Linked DNA regions of Oryctolagus cuniculus. The protein of the gene in region 4 purifies or fractionates together with the protein of the main gene of each other region. This does not show direct contact. Links are inferred from orthologs where the notes say so. Each region holds a gene or a part of one and is shown on either strand. Other genes may lie near its edges.

Region 1 (4,638 bases), on a different chromosome or scaffold from region 4:
GCTAGAAGCTTCTTCTCGATCTTCCACACCAGTGCAGAAGCCCAGGGACGTGGGCCATCTTCTACTGCCCTCCCAGGCCACAGCAGAAAGCCGGATAGGAAGTAGAGCAGCTGGAACTCCAACTGGTGTCCATACAGGATGCTGTCAGTACAGGTGGAAGCTTTACCCACTACACCAATGCCGGCCCCCAAACAATTCACTTTGAAAAGCACCCAACAACAAAAAAGAGATGTATGGATGAATAACGTGACAAATAAATGATGGAGCAAGAATAATAAAATGTAAAAGGTGGACTCCTAAACTGTAGGTATAGGAAACTGATCTTACATTCTAAGGAAAGGGAGGACTGAGAAAAGCTATTCATTTGTCCAGAATAAATTACAAACATTTCCTGAGTCCCCATCTGGCAGAATCCATTATACTAAGACTAAAGCATTGAAGAGCCAAAGTGACTCCATTTTAAAACAATAAAAAAAGCAGCCTCCATTTCCCATAGCAGACCCGGGTCCTTGTAAAAGCAGGCATTCAGGCATTCCGGAGATATCAAAGCTTACCAGGGACAGCTAGCTCGGTAGACCTAGGAGAGCGCAGTAGAGATTGCTAAACAAAGTAACTCCCTGTACCCAAAGCTCCGTGCTGTAAGCCCCCGCTGATGCAACTCTGTTTTTCCTGCTGATGTAACACCCCCTTTTTTTTTTTTTCCTTTAAAAACTCTCCCAAAGACCGGGGCCTCACTCCTTCCTCTGCTGTGCTGGTTGGTTGGATAGGGTCCCTGTCGCGGCTTGTACTCCCGAATAAACCTTGCTTTTTGCAGCTCGGTGTGATCGACTCTCTGGGGGTCTCTGCCGGGATCTAACGATCTGGGTACAATAGCATTAAAGAGAAATCCGATATATGGACCCATTCAGTCATAGCACAAGAGTTGGCTCCTGGTGTGGAAATGCAAGGGAAACAACAGTTGATGATCTCTACTGATCTAATCTGCTCTTGTTTGGTTACTAGTGCTCTGCACAGCATTCCACATGTTCTCATTTTTCACATTGACAACTGAGTAGGTGACGGGATCCTTCACTGAGATAGGAACGGCACACAAAGGAACAGATTTGTGGTGACAGTCTTTGAACTTGCTTTTGGCATTCTGAAGTTTCGGTGTTCACGTTATATCTAAACAGAAATGTCCAGAATTCAGGAGACATCTGCTGCCTTCCAAACACAACACAGAGGAAAGCACATTTTACAGGGTTTCTGAAAAAAATAGCTCATTTTAGTTTAGTACTCAACATGAAAAGTAAGCTTCATCACAAAAACACAGCTCAACACCACCTTGTCCGTATGGAGGCCGCTCAGAGAAGAAGAAAGGGAGGAACGACATAGTTCACCAAGCAGACATCAAACCGCAGCTTTTTGTCTTTCCCGCTGGTTCTTAAGCGACCAACCACGCCGATTTTTCGGTCATATTCCACGCCACTTCCGCTCGCGCACTTTAATTACGTCAGGCCGTCAGATATCGCGGTATCATCCTTTTGCTGAGGCCATTTAACAAAGATCTCGCGAAATTTGTTCTACATGTTCTAGCGAGCCTCTTACCCTCCTCCACCCCACCCCTAGTCTGTCCCTCCTTTCTCTTTCCAAGTCACAAAACCCTCTTCTTCCCTCTTTCGGGCTCGCGGCTCCCCTGTTTCCGATTTCGGACCGGAACCGGAAGTGCAGTGGGCGGGCCCGGCAGCGGAAAGCGCAGCGGCGCCGGAGCCGGGACACGGCTGTGGCTGCAGCCCCCACCCCGGCCACGGATCGCTGGGTGGCAGGGCTGCGCGGCTCCAAGCTGAAGGTCGGTCCGGAGGAGGGTGGGCGCGAGCCTCACCTGGATTGTCCCGGCGGCACTGTCCTCGGGCCCCCCGGGCGCCGCGAGGGATCATGTCTACAGCCTCTGCCGCCTCCTCCTCCTCTTCGTCTTCGACCAGTGAGATGATCGAAGCCCCTACCCAGGTCCTTAACTTTGAGGAGATCGACTACAAGGAGATCGAGGTGGAAGAGGTGAGCAAGCCCCAGCACGGAGACAGTCGTCCTGGGCGGTCCCTGCCTCTGCCTGGTCCTGGCTCCGAAGGGGCCCGGCGGGGTCCACCCAGGAGTGCCCCCAGCCCTTCAGAGACGGGGTGTGGAGGAGGCGCGACTGCTCCCGCTAGCTGTCTCTTTTTTTTCTTTACCCCGACACTCTTCATGAGTGTGGATCAGATAGTCTGGTGCCTGGATTTGGGTCACCTCAAACAGAATGAACTGTGCGGTAGTGTGACCCGCCAGTTCTCATACCTGTAAGTAAATTCCGTGAAGACTGGCGGTTTTGGAGTTCGCTAGACGCGAAGGGCCAACGATGGTATTATGTTCGGTTTCCAGCTCAGTGCCTGGGGCGTAAGGGATGCTCAGTAAATGCTTGCCAAGTTACTAGGTCATCAATTCTAATAAAATGTTCTCCCTTAGTACCGAATGACTCTGTTTTTCCGATATCATAGAGCAGCACTCGCAGTATTCAGTGTCTAGCTGTTTTAGATGAATTTCACCCGTGGTAACGCCGACTGGTCTACGATGAAAAGAAGTTTCAAGTAGCATATTCTGAAAAGATAACTGTTGGTTTTGCTGATAACCAGCTGCTTTCCTATCCAGTTATCCATCGTATCTATCATTTCTGGTGACAGCCAGAATGTCGCCGAATTTCTCTGTCTGGAACCCATTCTGTGTTCTGCAGTAATTTATTACAGATCAAAGTATCTGTGCTTTTCATACATTTCTCCTTTTCTAGTTCATAAAGGGGTAGATTGGTTCTAAGGACCATAAAATTTAGAAAAGTAAAAACTGAATATGCATTTTAAAGACACACTGTGGAACTTGTTAAATTTTTAGTTGGGGATAGTATCTGTCAAACAGTTGCTATTTTTCGCTATAAAATTTATTAAGCACTTTGCTCTACCTGTACCATTAAGAACCTTGTTAAATCCTGGTGAAACATAATAGACTCTCAAAGAGCTGTCTCTATTTTAAAAATATAAAATTGCATTTACATGACAGCCAGTTAAAAGTAGTGAGTTAATGAACATTCAATGCTTTTTTCTTTTTCTATCTTCCTTTCTTCCTTTCTTTTTAGTTTTAGAAAGGTTCAGTATATCCGATATACCACATTCTAGCTGTGTAATTTGGGAGCAAGTTTCTTAACTCCTTTGAGCTTTCAATTCCATAAGTGTAAAATAGAGATAATAATATTCTATTTTATTTTATCCATATAACAGATCCTATTAAACAATATATGCAAAACACCCAACAATGCCTGACACATATTATTAGGAAACTTAATTCCAGACTGGAGCAATGACCTGCTTTAAGGTCACATAGCTAACTAAAAGAAGACCTGTATTTTGAAGAGGAAAAATTTTTTTTTTCTTTTCCTATTGAGGCTATGATAAATTCCTTTTTCAGAAGTGGATAGTTGATTCAGCTTTAATGGCTAACATTCTTTTTTAAGAATAAAAATGGAATGAGTCAGTCTACAAGAATTGCAGTTTTTAAATAAGCATTTACGTCTACTCTGTGGTGAACTGCTATGCTGGTAGACAAGAAATTATTATATAATAATAACTTGTACTCCGTGGTCTACCTCACAAAATTACTTGACTCTCACAACCTTAGTTTTTACAAACTGCTTTCTAAAGCTTTTTGGATTCTTGCTTCATGGAAGAATGCAAGTTATTAAGGAGACATTTGCCATTTTGATATTCTTCCCTCAAAGCCTTTTCACTTCTGGTTAGCTTTTTATGTTTCCAAGACCCTTCTTTCAGATATGTTTCAACTTTGAGGGGAGGATATTCCTAAGGAGTAGATTTTTGTTTTCAGATGAGAATTTCTTTCTAATATTAGGCATTTAGGGGTTTTTGTTTTGGTTTTCATTTTTATATATCCGATTTGTTTTCCCTTTAAATCCTGAATTTACACCTTTCTGATTTTGAAAAACCACTACATAATTTCCATCATACTCTTCCTTTGCATACTATATAATCAAGAGCACTCAGCAACTATTTCTCAGTCTTCTAGATTAAATCATAAAAAGTGAACAGAGAAGGATGACCAGAAACAAAAATTATTTTATATTGCTTTCAATTTATAGAAGTACATTGTCTTTTAAATTAAGACCATATGCTATATTTATATATAGTCAAATAACAAGAATAATTATATCAATATATTGTAGCAATATAACTAGAAAGTATCTTTTTTTGTTTTCTGTTAGGTTTATTTATTTATTTATTTGAAAGGCAGTGTTAGAAAGATCGTCCATCTTCTGGTTCACTCCCTAAATGGCCCTCTAGGTCTCCCACATGGGTGCAGGGGCTCAAGCACTTGAGCCATCTTCTGCTGCTTTTCAAGGCACAGGAGCAAGGAGCTTAATGGAGAGTGAAGCAACTGAGGCTTAACCCTGTACTTCAGCAAGGGATACTGGGGTGACAGGCAGCAGATTAACCTTCTGCACCACAATGCCGGCCCACAGAAACTGTTTTAAAAAGAAATCCCAACCGGAGGCCAAATAGGCAATTATTTAGTAGATATAATGTCTAAAACATCCGCTGCTTTTAATCTTTGGGTTCTTAATAGTGT
Region 2 (4,730 bases), about 35 Mb from region 4:
CTCTGTGAGACGGGTGGCAGGGTGTGCTCTGTGTGTGTGACGGGTGGCAGGGTGTGCTCTGTGTGTGTGTTAGACAGGTGGCAGGGTGCGCTGTGTGACAGGTGGCAGTGTGTTCTCTGTGAGACGGGTGGCAGGGTGTGCTCTGTGTGTGTGACGGGTGGCAGGGTGTGCTCTGTGTGTTAGACGGGTGGCAGGGTGCGCTGTGTGACAGGTGGCAGTGTGTTCTCTGTGAGACGGGTGGCAGGGTGTGCTCGGTGTGTGTGTGTGTCACAGGTGGAAGGGTGAGCTCTGTGTGCGTGTGTCACAGGTGGCAGGGTGCGCTCCAGACCACACAGGTGTGTGTAGAGCTAAAGGCTGCTAGGACAGTCAGGGGGCTGGGCCGTGACCCGGGGGCACCTGCAGTCCTCCCGCCGTGCTTCCGCAGCGTGCCTCAGTGCACGACTCTGTCTCTTTCCCAGGAGTGAAACACGTTCAGGAAGATCAGGTACTGGTCCACAGCCGCACACCAGGAGCGGCCGGAAGCCAGCTGCTCCTGGCGTTGACGCCTCTAGGACAGGGGTCCGTTCTGTGCTTGACCCCAGGGGCGGCAGGCCCCTCCTTTCCTGTGTGAATGGAGGAATCAAAGTCCTAGAACCCCGTGCCAGCAGGTGTCCTGATAGAGCGGTGGCTCGGCTGCCATGGCAACCCGCGGGGGCGTATGTTGCCCACGTGCAGTGACGTCACCGCCTTCCTACTCTTCCCAGTTAGCTCTGAGCGCCAGCAGCCTCGCCCCCGCCTGCTGGCCAGCAGCGCGCTTAGAGTGGCCAGGCCCCGCTGTCCGCAGCCTCGGAACCGGTGGCCAGCACTCTCCCGTTTCGCAGGGGGCCGGCCTCAGCCTCCTCTATGGAAGTGGTCAGCCCACGTCCTGGTGGAATTAGGACCACTCAGGGACCTTAAGTCTCCCCTCTACACACACACCTCTGAACTTGTCCTAGAGTTTCCATGGCAACTATGCCCCGAGGTCCCCTTAGGGAGGACAGCGATAAAAGCAGGCGAGCACCCACATTCTCAGCCCCGGGACTGCCCAGGCAGACCTCAGGGCGCCCCCGAGGTCCCTCCGTGGGCTGAGCACCCTGCAGACACCTGAAACCCAGTCCCACCTTGATGGTGGTGAACTCCTTCCTCCAGGGCAGCAGGTACAGGTGCACGGCGGCCAGCTCCAGCAGCTCGAAGGCTCGGGCCAGGCCGTGCAGCGCGGGCGCCAGGTCGGCGCGGCCCCACAGCCCGTCGGTGAGCAGCGCCAGCGCGTCGTCCTGCAGCGCCCCGTGCAGGTCGAAGTCCTCGACCAGGATGTGCCAGAGCACGGCGCGCAGCGAGGGATCCCCGCACACGCCCGCGCGGCCGCGCCGCAGCTCGCGCTCCAGGCACAGGCGGTAGTCCTCGGACAGCGAGCTGCTGCCCATCCTGCCGGCGGGAGCGCGGTGTGAGGCCGCGCCCCGCCGGCTCAGCGCCCCCAGCCCACCCAGCCCCGCCGGGGGAGCCAGCATCCGCCCGCTGAGCGCCCCCTGCCCACCCCCCCGCCAGAGGAGCCAGCATCTGCCCGCTCAGCGCCCCCTGCCCACCCAGCCCCGCCGGGGGAGCCAGCCTCCGCCGGCTCAGCGCCCCCAGCCCACCCACCCCCCGCCAGAGGAGCCAGCCTCCGCCGGCTCAGCGCCCCCTGCCCACCCAGCCCCGCCAGAGGAGCCAGCCTCCGCCGGCTCAGTGCCCCCAGCCCACCCACCCCCCGCCAGAGGAGCCAGCCTCCGCCGGCTCAGCGCCCCCTGCCCACCCAGCCCCGCCAGAGGAGCCAGCCTCCGCCGGCTCAGCGCCCCCAGCCCACCCCCCGCCAGAGGAGCCAGCATCCGCCGGCTCAGCGCCCCCAGCCCACCCCCCGCCAGAGGAGCCAGCCTCTGCCCGCTGAGCGCCCCCTGCCCACCCCCCGCCAGAGGAGCCAGCCTCCGCCGGCTCAGCGCCCCCTGCCCACCCAGCCCCGCCAGAGGAGCCAGCATCCGCCCGCTCAGCGCCCCCTGCCCACCCCTCGCCAGAGGAGCCAGCATCCGCCCGCTGAGCGCCCCCTGCCCACCCAGCCCCACCAGAGGAGCCAGCATCCGCCCGCTGAGCGCCCCCTGCCCACCCAGCCCCGCCAGAGGAGCCAGCATCCGCCCGCTGAGCGCCCCCTGCCCACCCCTCGCCAGAGGAGCCAGCATCCGCCCGCTGAGCGCCCCCTGCCCACCCAGCCCCGCCAGAGGAGCCAGCATCCGCCCGCTGAGCGCCCCCTGCCCACCCAGCCCCGCCAGAGGAGCCAGCATCCGCCCCCTCAGCGCCCCCTGCCCACCCACCCCTCGCCAGAGGAGCCAGCATCTGCCCCCTCAGCGCCCCCTGCCCACCCAGCCCCACCGGAGGAGCCAGCCTCCGCCCGCTCAGCGCCCCCTGCCCACCCCCCGCCAGAGGAGCCAGCCTCCGCCGGCTCAGCGCCCCCTGCCCACCCAGCCCCGCCGGGGGAGCCAGCATCGGCCTGCTGAGCACCCACAGTCCACCCAGCCCCGCCGGGGGAGCCAGCATCCGCCCGCTCAGCGCCCCCCGCACCCTCAGCCCAGCCCCGCCGGGAGATCCAGGCCCTGGCCGCTGAGCGCCCAGGTGTCTACGGCTGTCCCCTTCCTCGAAGACCCGCTCGCGCCTTCTGAGCCTCCTCCTCCGCCCACGACCTCGGGCTCTGGATCCCACGGCCGAAAGCACTACCTGTCTGTCCCCGGGGTCCGGCAGCCGCCACCTCTGTGCGCCGGCCTCCTCCTCGGCACGCGCTTCCGCGGGACGCGGCTCCGCCCACAGGCCGTGACGTCGAGGGGCGGGAGGGCGTCACGTGCAGCCTCCTCGGAGGGCGGGGATTGGCCGGCTGTTGGGGGGCGGGGCCGCGGCGCTCGGGGCGGGCGCCATTCTCGAACTCCGGAGCCGGGGCGGCGTGTGCGGCTCCCGGCGTGGGTCGCGGGCACCTGGGGAGTGCGCCAGCGGGCGGCAGGTCCGTCTCCGCCTCTCGGGTACACGCGGGCCACTCGGGCCGTCCGGGGCCGGCTGAGGAGAGCGGCGTCCAGGAGCACCGGCCTCAGCGCGCGGCCGGGACTGACCTCCCCGGCCCAGGATAACGCGAGGCGGGCTCCTGAGAGTCCCCTGGGCCCCTCCCGGGCCGCCCAGGCGCGAGCGCCGGGACCGAGGGCCGTCCCGAGGGAAAGCGGGTTTGCTCTCGGAACTTGCGCCCGGCAGGATTCGCCGCCGGGGAGACTTCGGGGCTGCCGCGGACGGGCAGCTCGGCGGCGTGAGCCCGTGAAGACAGCCCGAGAGGCGGGGGCCCGGCTCCGCTTCCTGCAGTGCACGCCCGGGAGCCCGCGGTGCCGCATTCTGCCCGCCGCCCACGTGGGAAACCGCCTAGACTTTTGGGATCCTGTTACTGGCGTTTGGGGGCAGGCCAACAAAGGGGAGCCGTTTCTGTCTGCTCGCAAGTAAATTCAAATAAGGAAGTGAACGTTTTCAGCAGAAATCGAGGGGCCGGTGTCCTGGGCTCCGGGAGCGCCGCTCCAGATCCTGGCTGCTCCGCCTCCCACTCGTCTTCCTGCCTGCGCGTCTGGTGGGCCCGCCACCTGGGAGACCGAGCTGGAGTTCCTGGCTCTTGGCTTTGGCCTGGTTCTGACCTGTTGTGGCCATTTGGTGAGTGAACCAGTGGATAGAAGATCTCAGTCCCTCTGTCCTTCAAATAAATAAGGAATCTTTAACAAGCAAATAGAAAAATGGACACAGATGCACAGGGAAGGGGCAGACCAGAGCGATGCAGCTCGGAGCCAAGGACTGCGTGGGTTTTCGGAAGCTCCCAGGGCAGATGCAGGCGAGGGAGGGGCCTTCTGGGCCTCAGACCGGTGCAGCCTGTGGGCGCTCGGCTCACATTTCTGCCTCGCAAAGCTCTTGAGATTCTGAACTTGTTTTAAGCCACACATTTTGTGATACTTTGTTAGGGGGCGTCTCAGGATACTCACATATTCTGTGTACTCCATTTATTTAGTGCTGGGTAAGTGACACTGACAGCCGGGGTCAGGCTGCAGTGTCAGATCGACAGCTGGGCCTGGCCATCTGCAGGCTGCCCCAGCTGGAGCCCAGCCACACAGTGACAGCTGTGTGATAGCCAGTGTTGAGGCCTGGGTCATCTGTGTTCAGTTTCCTTCTCGGCTCTCCTAGGGCCGACATCCCCCCGCCCCCCGTTTGCACACACATCCTGCTGTTGGACCTCGGTCCACACAGTTTCCAACGCCCTCAGAAGGTGGAGGCCATCGCTAGGTCTGAGGCCATTGGTCCCTGCCTTGGCCCAGGACTGCCTGCTGGTTCCTGCCCCCACCACCGCACACATCCCCACACCGTGTGTCCAGTGTCACCAGTCTGATGGGTCTGAGGTTGTGTCTTGTTTTAATTCAAATCTCTTGGTTTCCGCTGTCATCTCAGCCTCTCTTGGGTTTGTTCTTACCGTCTCCGCAGACCACCTGTGGCCTGGCTGTCTTCCTACGTGGGGTCTTCAGTTCTTGCTGATTTGTAGGATTTCAAACAGGAATATTCTATGATTCTGTGATGCTTCTTGTTTCTTTTAGGTGGCACCGCGGGCTCAGTCAGGCTGAAGGACCAGCTCAGAGCCACACAGCGAGCACCAGCTGAGCACAGCCTTACCCCACCGTCAG
Region 3 (4,641 bases), on a different chromosome or scaffold from region 4:
TCTGCCTTTCAAATGAATAAATAAATCTTAGTAAAAGTGCTGTTGGCTAGCTCCCACACCTAATAACGGCCGAGACCCCTTTGACCATCAACAGCTCCCAAGGTGAATTAATCCTGTTCCCATCGCAATGGATTTTGCGACATTGATTTGACAGCTGCAGCTCAGGAGAGACATCAACTCCCCTTTACGACGTACTGAAGCTCGGGTGGCACTCGGCATGGCAGTGAGGTTGCCGCCTGGGACGCCGCGGTCCCTATCAGAGTGCTCGGTTCGAGTCCCAGCTCCTCCGCTGCCCATCTAGTCTCTGCCTTTGCAATAAAATGAAAATATATTTTTAAAATGTCGGTTAGGCTTATATGAATCGAATGGAGTTGATTCGAAGAGAAGCATGAAATCACAGCGCAGCTAGCGCGAAGCTAACATTTTCAGCTTGGAAAACCGGCCGCGACCGGCAGCCGCCGCCTTCGGGGTCCGCACCTCCCAGACTTCCCTCCCCAGCTCCGTACGGCGTCCGGGGGGCGTGGCCCGCCACTAGCCCGCCCCCAGCGTGCGCACGCACGACCTACAAGCCCCGCCCCTACCGGCGCACGCCGCACGCTCCGCCCCGCCCCCACGCGCGTGCTCGGTCGCCGCCGAGGACCCGCCCCCTCGCCGAGCGCCTCCTTCCCGACCGCCCTTGCGCGGAGCTGAGCGGCGGCAAGATGGCGGCGCAGCAGCAGGGTCGTGAGGGCGGCGCTCCGCTGGCCGCGGCAGCGGCGGAGGCCGACCCCTTGGGCCGCTTCACCTGTCCCGTGTGCTTAGAGGTGTACGAGAAGCCGGTGCAGGTGCCCTGCGGACACGTGTAAGCAGCAAGCTCGCGCCCGGCCGCAGGGCGCCCGGCTGGGAGGGGAGCGGAGCCGGGGAGCGAGGCCCCTACGGGGAGGGTCTCCGGGGCGGAGGCGCAAGGACGGGCCTGGGGGGTGGCAGCTGGCGGGGCCGGCACAGCCGACTGCCCCCGGGCGGCCCGTGAGGCGCCGGGCAGGGGCCGAGGTCCGCCCTGGGAGAGCCAGAATGCGCCTCGGGGCTAGGGCTCTGGGCGTCGGGGCTGGCGTTGCGCACTGAAAATGGGGAAACGCCGAAGGAGGGGGAAATAATGAAAGGGAAGTCCGCTCGGGGCGCGCCGGGCTGTGCTTCTCGGAGTGGGGGGCTGGCCCGGGAGCGGGGGCCGCGCGGGGGCCTCGCTCCGACAGACGCTCCTAAAACTAGGGGAAGAGAAGAACAAAACAAAACAAGCAAACCTGTAGGCGAACGGGTTCACCTGCGTCGTGCTTCCCCGCAAGGCCTTGTTCCTCTGTGGGCTCCCTGTGCTAGGCACGGCCGCCGCCTTGGCGGGGGCCCGGGGATCCTCTGTTGGTCGGCGGCGAGCGCACCTGTAGGCACTCACAGGCGGTCGTCTGCAGGGGGCACCTGTGCAGGGGCGGGGGCTGGCAGCCATTTTACAGGGTAGTCGACGCCGGGCACCCGGCAGAGGCTCTGCGGCCAGGCCGGCTGCTTGCTGCGCCCTTTGGCCAGCCTGGAACCGGACTCCTGCCCCGTGCGCCTCCCGCCTCTGCCCTCGGATCTCGGGTCCCTGCGCTATCACCGTGGCCATCCCTCCCCTCCCTCGGGGTCTCGGGAGATGGCCGCCCTCGGCGTCTGCGCTCGGCTGAGCTGGGGAGAGGTGGTGCCGCCCCGGCTGGAGACCTCCTGTGCAGGGCCGCAGCCTCGAGGAGCCGCGTGACCGCGGAAGGGGCGGGCTGAGGAGTGGGTCCCCGGCGTGGAAGTGGAGCTCGGCCGCCTGCTCTGAGCCTGCGCACCTCGGCGCAGGGCCACCCAGCTTCGTGTCCATCCCGCGGGGTCCATTCACTTAACAGCTTTCGGAAGCCTTGGCCCAGCGTCGAGCCGCCGGCCCTCTCCTGGGTGGGGGCCGCAGCGGCACTGGGGTTCAGGCCGCGGCTCGCTTCTCCTCCCGGCCGTGCAGGCTGCACGTGTCCAGCAGTTCCGTGCTGATGGACGGCAGGTGGGAGCGCCGTGGGGCGCAGCGCGTCTCCCTGAGCCCCAGCCGAGAGCTGTGTCCTGGCCTCGCTGGGTTTTAACGGGTCGCTGGAGACTTGAGCACCACCGTGGCTCTGGCTGGGCACTGGGGTTTGTAAGACTTCATCTCAAAGTTCCGGAGGACAGCACCCTCCCGGTCCGCTGGGCTCTCGCGGAGAGGGGCAGGTGGCCGAGTGCCTGGCAGAAGGGGCGGAGCATCTGGAAGGCTGAGCCAGAGGGAGGCCGGTGAGGAGGAAATAGAAACTGAAACCAGCCTGGGACCCCTGCTGCTTGCTGGGTGTCCCTCGGCGCTGGTGACTTGAGGGGAACAGGGGCGGTGCCTCCCTGGTGCTTGCCCGCGGGCCTTGGTCTCGGTGCTGTGGGACCCTCTGCGTTGGGGGCTCCTGGGCTCTGCCTCTGTCAGCAGGGTCGGGCGCCTGCCCCTCCTGCCGCGCCTCTGGTTGGTGTCACCTCTGCCTGCAATCAGCGAGCGACCCCTCTTAGCCAGGCCCCGGCCCAAATGTGGCCTCAGAGAGCTTCCGGTGGTCCCCCAGGCGCGCTCTGGCTTGTCTCATTCCCTGCCTAGACTTCCTCACTGCATCAGTGAACAGTTGTGTTCCTCCACCTTACGCAGGCCCCGTGAGAATGGGCTTTCTCTGTCCTCTCCCTCGGGCTGAGCCGAGCCCTCTCACCTGGCAGCCCGGCCTGACCGTCCCCAGCAGCACTAGCGTCGAGCTTAATGGCAGAGGAAGGTGTTCTTAGTTAAAGAAGAATGAGCCTGGCAGGTGCGCTGGTCGCCTCTGGTGATGCGCCCTGGGCCCTCCCTGCTGGATCTCGTGGTCCTGGGTCCGTGCGGCCAGGTGGGCGGCCCAGGTGTCCTGCTCAGGAGCTGCCTTGGTGCCTCACCCAGCGTCCGGTAGCTCTCGGTCCCCGAATTCCTGAACCACCCAGTCCTGCTGCTTGCCTTTGAGTCCTTCCCTGAGTCGGGTCTCCGCCTCCCCCGGCCTTCAGGATCCCCTGCTGGGAGCCATCTGATTGGTCCCTGCCGCGCCAGTCCCGCGGGAGACGCAGTCTGCTCCTGCTGCTGGCGCGGGTCTGCTAGCTTCCCACCCCGCAGGTGCACCCTGAGTAGTCGAGTCTGCTGCCAGCCGAGCCCTTGAAGGCCGATGGCGCAGGCCGCCTCTGTGGTCTGCCCCCTCCCCACCCGGCCCTCACGCTCAAAGCCAGCAGCTCCATTCATCCTGCATTTTGTGTGTGCTAGACACTGCCTGAGGGGCACCCTCCCCACGCCATTTCACAGGGGAGGAGGTGGAGGTGCAGGAAGCCCCCACCCACCCCTGTGAGATCGCGCGGGGCAGGGGCTGCCAGCTGAAGCCTTGGCCCCGCACCTTCGCCTTGTGTGACGGCGGTTTGCGTGTTTCCGTTGCTGGGCCTGTGTGTCCTCACCGCGCTCCCTGTCCTCACGCCCAGCTTTTCTGGCCTGGAAGGACTCGGGGCTTGACTGAGGGCAGGGAGCAAGTTGTCTTGAGTCCATCACTCGTGGCTCCATTGTACAAGTGGACGCTGGTGCCGTCTGTCCCCGCCATGCATGACGGAGGCTCTCTGTGTGTCTTGTTCTAGCTTTTGCTCTGCATGCCTGCAGGAGTGTCTGAAGCCGAAGAAGCCTGTCTGTGGGGTGTGCCGCAGCGCTCTGGCGCCTGGCGTCCGGGCCGTGGAGCTCGAGCGGCAGATCGAGAGCACAGAGACATCTTGCCATGGCTGCCGTAAGAATGTATGTGGAGGTAACCGGAGGAGCCGTGTCTGTCCAAGCTGAGCTGGGGGAAGCGTAGTGCTGGCCGCGCCGTGTCCGCACGTGTGCATGCCGGGTCCGCGGTGACGCTGCGCTGGCTCCTTTCTTAACGTAGGGGTTTTTTTTTGTTTTTTTTTTTTTTTTGCTTTTTTTTATGAGTTGGTTTAGCATCATCTACCCCAGCTTTGAAAGCCATAGAAGTCACTTGTCCCAGTTTCCCTGTAAAACCCGTTTTTCCAAACACTGTACACTGTTCAGTTAGACTAGTGACGTGATATTACATGTGACTCAGGCGTGCTCTGCGCAGGCAGGGCCGGGGGGAGAACGGTTGGTTTCACTTCAGCACCCGACAGGCCGCGGCCACGACGGAGGCCAGCGTGACGTGCAGTGGTAGTGAGCAGCCTCTGACCCCGGCGTGTCGCCGCATCTGGGTAATCAGACTGGGCTCGATCGTGTGTGGTTTGCCTCTGTTACAGCTGCTGCTGGGAGGGACAGATAACCGGTGCCTGATTTCCCAACAGATGTGCAGTTTTATTAATTTTAGACTCATTACACTGTCCGTTAAATGCACACGGTTCAAAAGCACAGTGGGGGCTGCAGCCTGGGGCCGTCTCGGCTGGCTTCTGCGGACTCAGACTCAGACACGTGGAGCATGTTTACCAGCACACAGAAATCGTGATGAAATAGTTGAGATCAGACCATTTTTTTCTTCACCTTTTCTTCGCTTTTGCAAGTTTGTTTTGTTTGACTTCCTGGATGGCCTTGCCTGTTGGTTTCCTTAGCACTTCGGTTTGGGCGGG
Region 4 (4,075 bases):
CTGGTTCACTCCCCAGATGGCTGCAACGGCCGGAGCTGTGCCGATCTGAAGCCAGGAGCCAGGAGCTTCTTCTGGGTCTCCCAGGCGGGTGCAGGGACCAAGGACGTAGCCTATCTTCTACTGCTTTCCCAGGCCACAGCAGAAAGCTGGATTGGAAGAGGAGCAGCTGGGACTAGAACTGGCGCCCATATGGGATGCTGGTGCTTCAGGCCAGGGCTTTAACCCAGTGCACTACAATGCCAGCCCCCTGAGCATTTTTTTTTTTTTGAAGATTTATTTATTTATTTGAAAGGCAGAGTTACACAGAGAGAAGGAGAGACAGAGAGAGAGAGAGGTCTTCCATCTGCTGATTCACTCCCCAATTGGCTGCAACGGCCAGAGCTGTGCTGATCTGAAGCCAGGAGCTTCTTCCGGGTCTCCCATTGTTGGATGCAGGGGTCCGAGGACTTGGTCCATCTTCTACTGCTTTCCTAGGCCATAGCAGAGAGCTGGATGGAAGTAGAGCAGCTGGTACTTGAACCGGCACCTGTATGGGGTGCTAGCACTGCAGGCGGCGGCTTTACCTGCTATGCCACAGTGCCAGTCCGTTGAACTAGCATTTTTAAAAAGATTTATTTATTTATTTGAAGGTCAGAGTGGTAGAAAGAAAGAGGGACAGAAAGAAATCTTCCATCTACTGGTTCACTCCATAAATGGCTGCATCGGCCACGCCTGGACTAGGCTGAAGCCAGGGACCAGGAGCTTCATCTGGGACTCCTTTGTGGGAGGCAGGGGTCCAAGTACTTGGGCCAGCTTCTTTCTCAGGCACATTAGCAGGGAGGAGAAAAAAGAGAGAGAGAGGGAGTGAGGGAGTGGGGGGAGGTTTCATTTGCTGCTTCCCACTCCCCAAATGGCTTCACTAGCTGGGGCTGGGCCAAGCCAAAGCCAAGAGCCAGGAAGTCCATCCTGGTCTCTCATGTGGGTGGCAGCGTCCTAAGCACTTGGATCCTCCTCTGAGGCTTTCCCAGGTGCATTGGCAGGGAGCTGGATCAGGCAGCCCTGGGACACGGGATGTTAGCACTGCAAGTGACTTCAGGCCCTGTGCCACAACGTGAGCCCTTGCAGAAGCCTTCGATCTGTAGCAGCAGAATACTGTGCTGTCATGCGCATTCCCCGTACCTGCTCCAGCACAGCCCTGGGAGAGTGAACTGTGTAAGGATAAATTTCCCTGCTTGTGTCTTTTGTTTCCTTAAATTCTGTAATGAATGCTGTGATATTCTCACTCTTTAAGGTGAGTTGGTTTGCACATTAATTATTTTGTCTTATGCAAAATTTTAAGCATACTTTTTCCCCCCTCAAATAATTGATACTAGAATAAGACAGATCAAGCCCAAAACTTTAAGGAAAGCTACACTCTTTTCCTCCTTCATCCTCGACAGACGTTCTTTGAATACTATTGCCCATCCCCGTCCACTGTTGGAATGCCCTGTTTGGATCAAGTTTACCACATCCACAGCCCTCAGGCCTGCTAGATCCGCATGTTTTATTTGGTCCTGAAGCCTCTGCTTTCCCCATTGCAAGCTGCTCTGGGCAGAGGCCCTGTCTCTCTCTCTACTCCAGTCGTATTCCCGATGGCTGGCAGCTAGGAGTGGTATGGAGGCAGCAGATGCTCAATGTAAGTTGGTTGCAGGCAGCAAATAAGCGAATGACTGGTTAACATAAAAAGTGGATTGGCTGGTTCTGACCTGCTTTCCTGAAGCCCATCATGACCTCCATGTTTTCTTCTGAAGCCATTTTTCACATTTAGAGTTTTGTCCAGGATTGACGTTAAACTGAATGTGGCCCAAATTCCTCCAAACCTGAGTGGAAATGTCCTAGTTATGCTTATTGCATTGCAGATTGTAGACTTGTTAATCAGTTCCCTTTTCCATTTAGGCTATTTTACCCTTCAATATTTATAAGGGCTCTCTCTCTCTCACAATTGTATATTCCATTTTATAAAAGTAAATGCTTTCATTTCTTAAGCAAATCTTACTTAAAAAGTTAGCACAAACTTGTAAAATGTTTTTGTCTTATATTAGTACTTTATTTTGAAGGTGAATAATAGTGTCTGGGATAATTCTGTTCCTACAGCTTTAATTTTTTCAAACCGCAAGAAGTCTGTAATTGCATCCTTCAAATAATTAACTAGCCTATTGATTTATGACATATTGGAGTTATACAAGAATGGTGTGATTATTAAGAAGTGTTATATAATTTAGTATATATGCCAATATCAGCTAATTAATAGTCTTTTACTAACACAGATATGGATATGTGTGTGCCACAAAAATTATGAAACTGAGGAAAATACTTGAAAAAGTTGAGGCTGCATCAGGATTTACCTCTGAAGAAAAAGGTGACTGTCTTTGTTTAAGGTTTATGCATTAAAAATACCTTGAAAGCATATTTGTATGCAAATTATTAGCTGACATGTGTGTCTTTTATTTTAAATTAGAAATTGATTCCTAAGTAATGTATAATTTTCTCCCCTTTTAAAATCAATTCTTGCCTCTTCTAAAAGTGATGAATAATGAACCCCTTAAAGAAGGGGCTAGTTTCTAATACGTGAGTGAGTAGACATAGCTCTGTCTGTAGCAGTGATTCTCTGAGCTGCTGCTCTCTCAGCAATGAAAGCATTTACATTTTCCTACTTACTTTTTCTTATTATAGAAGGAGAATTAAAAAGGCTAACGAGGATAAAGTTTATGCCCAGAGATCAGCGTTTTAATCTCTTCATGGCTTTACTCAGAGATTCAGCTCCTGGCTTTGAACTTGTTAGGAACCTTCTATACCAGCTGTACTGCTTACAGGCTGCATGATTATTTAAATAGAAAGGAAAACAAGGCATAGTACAGATTTTATTCTACATACCCTAAGCCCCCCCAGAGAAATTAAATTATTTTACTATATATAAATCATTATGCTCTTTGAAATGTGAAAAAATGATAATAAAATTGAGGCAATATTTCATTTTTTAGTTTTATTTTTATCATGTTTTTCTGAAAAAGTTCTTTATATCATAGCCTTTAGATGTCCCTTGTATTTCTCCTTTGTCAGGAAAACTTGAAAAGTATGCTTTTAACTGAAAGAATATTTAAGTGAATGGAGCAGAATTTGATATATGAACATGACTTATGAATTTGAAAATTGAATGTGATTTAAAAATTTTACGTGTGACTTATTTGATTTTTTAATTTTCTCCTAGATCCTGAAGAATTCTTAAATATCCTATTTCATCATATTTTAAGGGTAGAACCACTGTTAAAAATAAGGTAACTTTTAGATTGTTACAGAAGCATTGAAAAAAAAAAAAAAGACAGTCTTTGTTTCCAGGGCCATCAGTCAGCAGATGTGCTTTCCTTAGTGGTTATTTACCATTGTATTGGTTTAGGACTGCATGTGTCCTATAAATGCAATGATAAATGCAAAATTATATTAATCATTATGTGCTACAGAGTGCCTCCTTAACTTGAATAAGTCCAATGTAAATTTGTACTTTTAATTTTAACCCTAGTTATAAATATTGCAATTCATTTTCAAATGAAATTGTGTATATATGTAATTTAAATTAATAGGCCCTTTAAGAGAATCTCATTCTAATCTAATCACTATGAGAGCATTGTTTTTTGCCTACCTATCATTCAGAGAATTAATTGAGCCTTAAATTAGCTCTTTTGTTCTCAGCTCTAGAACTCAATCTTTTTTCCCCATGTGTTGAATAAAAACCTTGAGTTTAATGCAGTCATGTTCTTAGTGAGATGTTCTTTTATTTTTTAAAGATTTATTTATTTGAAAGACAAATTAGAGAGAGAGAGAGAGAGAGGTTTTCCATCCACTGGTTCACTCCCCAAATGGCTGCAATGAGAGAGAGAGAGAGAGAGGTTTTCCATCCACTGGTTCACTCCCCAAATGGCTGCAATGCTGGAGTTGGGCTGATCCGAAGCCAGGAGCCAGGAGCTTCTCTGGGTCTCCCATGCTGGTGCAGGGGCCCAAGGACCTGGGCCATCTTCTATTGCTTTCCCAGGCCACAGCAGAGGGCTAGAAAGGAAGTGGA

The links.
Region 1: the proteins of CYLD (region 4) and MAP3K7 purify together in Homo sapiens (affinity purification with western blotting; 4 studies listed by BioGRID, with this or other methods). This does not show direct contact. The link is inferred for Oryctolagus cuniculus from reciprocal best matches to the Homo sapiens genes CYLD and MAP3K7.
Region 2: the proteins of CYLD (region 4) and SPATA2L purify together in Homo sapiens (affinity purification with mass spectrometry; 3 studies listed by BioGRID and IntAct, with this or other methods). This does not show direct contact. The link is inferred for Oryctolagus cuniculus from reciprocal best matches to the Homo sapiens genes CYLD and SPATA2L.
Region 3: the proteins of CYLD (region 4) and SPATA2 purify together in Homo sapiens (affinity purification with western blotting; 10 studies listed by BioGRID and IntAct, with this or other methods). This does not show direct contact. The link is inferred for Oryctolagus cuniculus from reciprocal best matches to the Homo sapiens genes CYLD and SPATA2.

What each region holds. Positions count from the first base shown.
Region 1 is NC_091436.1:81,893,899-81,898,536, forward strand, and holds the start of MAP3K7 (mitogen-activated protein kinase kinase kinase 7), read left to right. Parts: upstream 1-1,502; 5' UTR 1,503-1,914; coding exon 1,915-2,034; intron 2,035-4,638. UniProt on the Homo sapiens protein: Serine/threonine kinase which acts as an essential component of the MAP kinase signal transduction pathway. Plays an important role in the cascades of cellular responses evoked by changes in the environment.
Region 2 is NC_091449.1:69,310,668-69,315,397, forward strand, and holds the start of SPATA2L (spermatogenesis-associated protein 2-like protein), read right to left. Parts: upstream 2,904-4,730; 5' UTR 2,758-2,903; intron 1,444-2,757; 5' UTR 1,443-1,443; coding exon 1,140-1,442; intron 391-1,139; exon of another isoform or gene 1-390.
Region 3 is NC_091442.1:10,692,683-10,697,323, reverse strand, and holds the start of SPATA2 (spermatogenesis-associated protein 2), read right to left. Parts: upstream 3,108-4,641; 5' UTR 1,868-3,107; coding exon 1,278-1,867; intron 842-1,277; coding exon of another isoform or gene 702-841; exon of another isoform or gene 661-701; intron 1-660. Other genes in the region: E3 ubiquitin-protein ligase RNF114, read left to right, coding at 702-841, 3,673-3,823.
Region 4 is NC_091449.1:34,338,572-34,342,646, forward strand, and holds part of CYLD (ubiquitin carboxyl-terminal hydrolase CYLD), read left to right. Parts: intron 1-2,285; coding exon 2,286-2,377; intron 2,378-3,226; coding exon 3,227-3,293; intron 3,294-4,075. UniProt on the Homo sapiens protein: Deubiquitinase that specifically cleaves 'Lys-63'- and linear 'Met-1'-linked polyubiquitin chains and is involved in NF-kappa-B activation and TNF-alpha-induced necroptosis.